2 linked regions of the Caenorhabditis elegans genome follow. The protein of the gene in region 2 purifies or fractionates together with the protein of the main gene of each other region. This does not show direct contact. Each region holds a gene or a part of one and is shown on either strand. Other genes may lie near its edges.

The links.
Region 1: the proteins of rbf-1 (region 2) and aex-6 purify together in Caenorhabditis elegans (affinity purification with western blotting, with the first as the bait; one study listed by BioGRID). This does not show direct contact.

What each region holds. Positions count from the first base shown.
Region 1 is NC_003279.8:13,543,252-13,547,178, forward strand, and holds the start of aex-6 (small monomeric GTPase), read right to left. Parts: upstream 1,938-3,927; 5' UTR 1,934-1,937; coding exon 1,862-1,933; intron 1,814-1,861; coding exon 1,656-1,813; intron 1,020-1,655; coding exon 905-1,019; intron 770-904; coding exon 657-769; intron 602-656; coding exon 477-601; intron 202-476; coding exon 137-201; 3' UTR 1-136.
Region 2 is NC_003281.10:6,673,818-6,677,744, forward strand, and holds the start of rbf-1 (Rabphilin-1), read left to right. Parts: upstream 1-1,942; 5' UTR 1,943-2,170; coding exon 2,171-2,414; intron 2,415-3,927. UniProt on the Caenorhabditis elegans protein: Rab-3 effector.

The sequences.
Region 1 (3,927 bases), on a different chromosome or scaffold from region 2:
AAGTCTCTGCTTAGAAATTTAATTGGGAAAAAATCACTAAAAATTAAGGAAAAAAAGGAAAAAAAACGAGGGATTATTATGCAAAATCATAAAATTCTATCTATTTCATTTTGTTAGAAGACCTTAAAATCGATAATCAGCAATTTGCACAATAGGAAGAAGCGGCCGATGGGTCTCCGTCCAAGCTGACTCCGCGGCATTCTGAAAAAAAAATTAGTTTTGTAGTGAAAATGTGGTTGAGGCTCACACTACAAACTACAAAACACATTGTAGTTTGTAGTAGAAAATTCGCGTGAAAAAAACAAGAGACTACAAACTACACTTTTCACGTAGCCTCAACCAATCATTTTAACAATTTTTGTAGTTTGGTTGAGGCTTCGCCGAAATTGTAGTTTGTAGTTACTATTATTTTTGGTAATGGCAACGACTATAGAGTACAAATATCTATTGTAGTTTGTAGTTTTTGTAGTCTATACCTGACAACGGAAGAGACGACGTCTCAACAGATTGTTGAATTCTTTGCATAACCAAATCGAGTAGACAATCCACAGATTTCTCCACATTGGTAGATGTGCAGGCGGACGTCTCGAAGTACGGCAGCCTGAAATTACGTGGTGGCCGTGCAGAAAAACAAGAGAAAAAATTCGGCCACGTACCCCAATTGATCAGCCAGCTGCTTTGCACGGGCGGTACTGACTTGACGCCGATTTTCGAGGTCTGCTTTGTTACCGCATATGATAATGTCAGGTTGCTCGCAATAGGCATGTACCTGGAAATTTTAATATTTTTCGGGGTTTTTTGAAAAAAATTGTTTTTTTTTCAGCTTTTTCAGCCAAATTTAAAGTAAAATTTTCAGAAAAATCAATAATTTTTAGATTTTCTGAAAAAAAAATCGCTAATATACCTTCAATTGTGATAGCCAGTCTCGAATATTGAGAAATGATTGCTCATTTGTAATATCGAAGATCAATATAAATCCCATTGCATCTCGGAAGAACGCTGTTGTTAGAGAACGGAATCTGCAAGATTTTGACTACAAACTACACATTTTTTGCTAAAAAATTCGATTTTCTCGTGAAAATCTGGTTGGAATTCTTATTTTCAACGAAAAATGAGTGAAGAATTAGCCTCACTCAACTTTAAATTTTGGTTGAGGCTTGAAAAGTGTAGTTTGTAGTGTGAGCCTCAACCAACGTATTTGGTAGAGGCTGAACTAGTTTTGTAGTTTGTAGTGGACGAAAACGCGAAATTAGCTCGGAAAATGCAACATTTTTGCATTTTTTTCAAATTTTAATCCAAAAAGTGGCGGAATTTGATGAAAAATTCAAGTTTCCGGAGAAAACTTCGACTCAGAGACTAAAAAATTCGAATTTCTCGTGAAAATCTTGTTGAAATTCAAATTTTCCACGAAAAATGAGTGAAGAATTGTAAGATAAAACTACAAACTACACGGTTATCTCAGCCTCACTCAACATAAAAATTTGGTTGAGGCTTGAAAAGTTGTAGTTTGTAGTGTGAGCCTCAATCAAACATTCTACATAGGAAAAAAAATACTTTTTTTTCGCAAAAAAAAAAAAGAAAATTAAATTCTTTCTTGTTCAGTTAAGGCTCATAGACTACAAACTACAAACTACAAACTACAATATAGCGATTACCTCTCTTGTCCGGCAGTGTCCCATAACTGAAGTAAAACTCGTTGACCACGACCACCGAATCCGCCACGTGAACTCTTGTAGACCACTTTTTTCTCTTTAAAATCAATTCCAACAGTGGAAATGAATTGTCCGGTGAACGTGTTATCCGTGTAACGATGCTGAAATTATTGTTGGTTGAGGCTGACACACTACAAACTACAACTCACCAAAAACGACGTTTTTCCGACTCCCGAATCGCCGAGCGCGAGAAATTTGATGAGATAGTCGTAGTCACCCATCTTCCTTAATTAATATCATTTTTCAGAGCAAAAAAAATTGAGAAAAACGGACAAAAACATGTGTTAAAAGTTGGTTGAGGCTCAGGCTACAAACTACAAAAATCGTGAGCCTCAACCTAATTAGTTGGTTGAGGCTAAACTAGATTTGTAGTTTGTAGTGTGAAGCCTCAACCAATTTCCAATTTGTATAATACAAAAAGTGTAAAAACTTGTAAAAATTTTAGTGAGGCTGAAACTACAAACTACAAGTATCCTGAGCCTCAACCAATTTCGTTGTTTGAGGCTAAACTTAGAATTGTAGTTTGTAGTGTGAAGCCTCAACCAAATTTAAATTTATTTTGTAAATAGCATGTAGCTTGTAAAAATTTTGGTGAGGTTTACACTACGAACTACAATAATCCTGAGCCTCAACCAATTTCTTTGGTTGAGGCTAAACTAGAATTGTAGTTTGTAGTGTGGAGCCTCAACCAAATTTAAATTTATTTTGTAAATAGCATGTAGCTTGTAAAAATTTTGGTGAGGCTGAAACTACAAACTACAAGTATCCTGAGCCTCAACCAAATTAGTTGGTTGAGGCTAAACTAGATTTGTAGTTTGTAGTGTGGAGCCTCAACCAAATTTAAATTTATTTTGTAAATAGCATGTAGCTTGTAAAAATTTTGGTGAGGCTGAAACTACAAACTACAAGTATCCTGAGCCTCAACCAAATTAGTTGGTTGAGGCTAAACTAGATTTGTAGTTTGTAGTGTGGAGCCTCAACCAAATTTAAATTTATTTTGTAAATAGCATGTTGCTTGTAAAAATTTTGGTGAAGCTTACACTACAAACTACAATAATCCTGAGCCTCACTCAAGGTTCGCAACAAAAAAGGGAAAGTCAAGCGGCTCTTTTCGCCAAATTTCTAGACATCTCTGTGACTAATTCGATTCATCAGGAAGAGAAATGGGAAAATGAGAGAGTGTGTGAGCAGGAGAGGTTAAAAAGAAAAAGAATATGGAAATGTCAGGTGACAATGTATATGTACTTATTATTATAGTATACTAATTTATAATTATAATGCTGAAATCAAAAAAAAGTGCAATGCACTTTTCGGCTACAAACTACAGTAATTAAAAGATGTTGTAGTTTGTAGTCAGCTTAATTAAATAAAAACTCGGCTTTTAAAAACTTTTTAAAAATCGTATGAGTAGGATTTTATTTGTGAGAAAAAACTTTAAAAAATGTATTTAATAAAATGGAAAAAGACTACAAACTACATATTTTTCTAGCCTCAGCCATATCAAAATAAATTTGAATTTTTTGGGTCCCGAAACGTATTTCGTGCGCCTTTAAAGAGTACTGTAGCTTCGGTTGCTGCCGGCTGCCGGATTTTCGAAAAATGTTCATAGTTTTTATAACGATTTTCTGAAATTTAGATGCTTTTATTAAAATTACAGTACTCTTTAAAGGTTCACATTTTTTCAAATTTATCGAAAATTTGTCGTCGTGTCGAGACCGGGTACCGTATCAAAAATTTCCGAGAATGCGTTTCGAACAACATATTTGACGCGCAAAACGCCAAAACTACAGTAATTCTTTAAATCACTACTGTAGTGTCGATTTACGGGGCTAAATAAAAATTCATCGGGCGCCACGTGGTGTCAGAGTGTGTCTCATTTTGGTTTGATCTACGTAGATCTACAAAAAATGCGGGAATTCTAAACTGAATTTGCATGGTTTAGAACGTGCTGACGTCACATTGGGGGAATTTTCCCGCATTTTTTGTAGATCAAACTGTAATGGGACAGCCCGTAAATCGACACTGTAGTTTTTTTTTGTATATAGCGTTAAATGTTGTTTCTAAAGAATTTTGTGTTCCGAAGCGACTACAAACTACAAAACCTAGCCTCACCAAAATCAAAATTTTTTTTTGCATTTTGCATTAAAAAACAAATTGTCATTTCGAGACCGGGTACCGTAATTTTGACGCAAAAAATTATAAATTCGGGTAATAA
Region 2 (3,927 bases):
ATTTAAATTTCTTAGAATTTAAATATTAGGAAAATGTATTTAATTAATTTATTTATTAATTTATTTACGCTCGCGAGGAGATGTGGAAAAACTTCATTTTTCAAATTTAATTCTTGTGTTTGAATATATTATTACTTAAACAGAGTCAGATCAACTGAAGTTGTCTGAATTATCGATAGAATCAGTCTATAAAAAGAAAAAAAACAGTATTAATTCTAATAGGAGCCGTTGAAAATGTTGTAAGAGCAGGCCTTTTGTTTTTTTCCAACCGAAAAATCTAATTTCAGGTAGTTCGAGAGCCAGAAATCGAAACAGTCAAACATTTTTAGTTCACCAGCACCTTTTTCTGTTGCTCAATAAAACCGGCGTTTTGTTTTCAATATGAATTTTGTGTACCTATTTGTTCACTACACCTTGAACACTGAATTTATATATAATGCCGAGTATATATATATATATATATATACTCCGAGTATATATATATAATGCAAAGTATATATATATATATATACAATATTTTAAAAATTAACTCTAGAAGATTACTCGCTGATTGGGGACAGATCAACAGCCTTGTTTTTCATGTTGTTTTTTCTTCATTTCTCACATTTGCCTAGTAGGTTCGCTCGAAAAGGTCAATGAGAAGTTTTTAATATTCTCATAGACAAGGAATTATTCATAAAAGTATATGTACATGTATTGTTGACGATCTACCCAATATCAAAAAAATTATTTTTGAACAACTAAGTTTTATTAATGAGAGAGTTGTTCAACATTCTTCAAAAATCCCAGTCGGGTTATCCCAAAAAAGAAAAAGATGATGATGATGCTCTTGGAGCACAAAAACGTAAAAAAATGTTTTATATGCCATTCGGTTCCGGCATGCATTCATGTGCTACCACATTGAGATGGTTTCACTTCTTTTGCACTGCTTAGCCCTGTGGAACGTCATATTTTGTTTCCAAAGTAAATTCGAAAGTCACGTGTCTGCTGTTCAACTTTTTTATTTGTTTTTTAGTTCAGTTGTCACATTAAGTCGTCAATTTTTAGTGAAAACGAAGATGCTCAACTGCTCGAGTTGAAAAGTTTTTAATGTGAAGTTTGTACCTGGAATCTGACAAGACGTAGATCTCAATAATCAGATAAAATATATCAAAATTCTTTTTGACAAGCTTGTAGTTACAGTAATTCAGAAAAATTTAATTTTTTATATTTCAAGGTTTGGCAAACTTGAAAATATCAACCAATTTTTTTTCGAGTAAACATTTTTCTAGGATGCTTTCCGAAAATTAATAAACTTTGCATGTTAAGAAAATTTGTAAATGAGATCCCTATTAAATGATTTTTTTAAAATCCCAAAAAGTAGCTGATTATGTGTGTTTTAGCAGCTGCTAACTTCAAGATGACGAGAGATCATTTCATGTTTGCGTCACCAATCCTAAATGATTACCATATCTTTGCAGATACTTGAAAAAGACAATTCATTGCTATTTTCGGAGGCGCTTTCCGGGCGACAGGCGGACGGGCGTGATACGTTCCCCCTAGACACCAATTTTTGAATCTTGTTTGTTATCAAGAGATCTACAGGAATTCAGAGTCTTAAAAAATTAAATGCAATAATAAATTTGACTTCCTAGTAGTATCCATCGAAAACAAAAAGTGTGAAATCAGTATCCAGATACATTATCTGAAATGTCTCCAAGGAAACAAACGTAGACTTTTTCCTAGTACACCAAACTCTTTTTTCTCTCTGTTTCATTTTTGTGTCCTTCATCATCATCTTTTCTTCTACTCCTCGAATAATTAATCCGAATACACCCTCGTTCATAGAGACGTGGCGATCGGGCGCCAGGAGCATGCGTTCTGCGTCTCTTATTCTTCCAATGGGCGGAGCCATAGGGGCTTCCACCACGCCCCATCACACAATCTAGAAGACTTGCTGTTGTGTTGGACTGACTCTCCGTATGTGGAGTGTAGAGGGCTGCTAAAGTTGCTCGAAAAAATTCGAATTTGCGCTCGGTTTTCTGATTATTTTTGTTCGGAGCAGTTTGCCAACCACTGGGGCAGGTGTTGTTATTTCTACAGCTGATTTCTCTCCTCTATCGTCTAAATCTCTTCTATTTCTGAAATATTCTGATGAAGAGAACGTCAGTCATAACCACCAAATGCAATAATGACCAAATCAACGAAACTTCGACACTGTAAACAGAAAAAGAAGAAACCGGAAAAGACTCCGAAGGGGAATCCGCCGATTCTTATAACCGAAAAGTCCATTGAAGACGCTGCAACCACTACATCGACTACAGATGCTCTTCTCGGATCACCCGAGGGCTCACGGAGCAAATCTCGAAAGCTTAAGCTGTGTTGTTGTACGGCTCAAGCAGCAACATTATCTCCTCTTGACCCAACTTCTTATGGTAATTGTTTGTTTTCTTCGACTTTTTTTTTGAATTTCCCATTGAACTAAAAATTACTATCAGAAAACCCATTCTGATGCTCGTAGAATCCTTCGCTGAACCCAAGATTAAGAGATTAATATCGAAAATGGCGCAATATTTTTTCTTCCTCATTCGAAAATGATTTCTATTGAAATAGGAAACAAATTCTTGAACTCTACATTCTGAATTCAGGTGGATTTTGAAAAAAAAAACACTTTTTAAAAAGAAATGTCTTTTGACGATTATTGTGTTTTTATTTTCTAAGAGTTTTTCCGCGAACCGTGGCTAGACCCATTAGGAAAAAGCCGATGTATGTTTTTAATTGCAAATATTGGGACTCCGAAGACTCCGAGGTGTATAGGCCGGTCCACATATATCTGAAAATTTTAAACTTGTACCCTCCCGAGCTCATCTAACCAATTAAACTTTCCACAGAGAAATATTTACATTCCCTATTGAAAGTCAGCTCACAAAATTTCAATTCAATTACTAATTTTCGAAAACTTCCTGAATTTTATCCTTTCCTCTCGCATTTTCTTATTTTAAGCTCGAGATTTTGTTTACAAACATTCCCCAATATCCTCACCCTCCTTGCCAAAAAACAAAAAGAAACAGATAATTCATCTTCCTCTCAAAAACCTTTCGACATGAAAATTAATAGTTTCCAAAAAGTCGACAAGTCTCGACATACCATGACTGGAAATTCGTCTTCTTTTTTTTTTGCTAACATGTAAAAAGAAATAGTGGAAATCCGGTTTCTTTGCCTCCAAGATGCTTGTGTTCCTTTTCTACCCGCTTCACCCGGAAACCCTGGAAGAGGTTCCCACGGTTTTTGGAGAATAAATTGCGATTTGAGCGAAAAAGGAAATGGCGAGAGAGACCCAGGGAAGAAGAAAAAATTCCCGAAAAGTGGTTCTACATGAATTTTTAATTTGAATTTGAAACAAGAAACATGCACGGAAGCAAATAGTGTGACTTATGAGTGGGAAAACGTTTGAAATAAATATAATGGGAATTTATTAGCAGCCGACGTCGTACGGGTTTTTTCTGTCGTCGACATCTTACGAGATTCAAAGCCCAATTACTTTATCTACTTGAAATTTTGTGTCTTAATCCTTTCAAGATTGTATTAAACTTTTATTTAACTTTTGCTTAACTGAAAAATGTCTAAAATGACGTTATTGTGTCCACATCAGATGAGCCCCGCCAGCCGAAGAATAGGTTTGAGAAAAATTGGCGAAATTCAATTATCCCCTCTGTTTTTCCGTGTCTCTATGTCTCTTTGTCTTCAAGTGAAAGAATGTGAAAATGAAGTGAGATGGGGGGCTCCGTTCGGGTCAGAAGAGCCAGCCGTTTTTTCTGAGCCAAATAGACAAGATTATCTTAAAAAAGAAAGAATTGAATCAAATTGAAAGGAAAAAAGAAGTGTAAAAGATAAAATCGCACTTGATTTCATTCTCCATGTACACTCATACTTTGAATTTGAATAGAG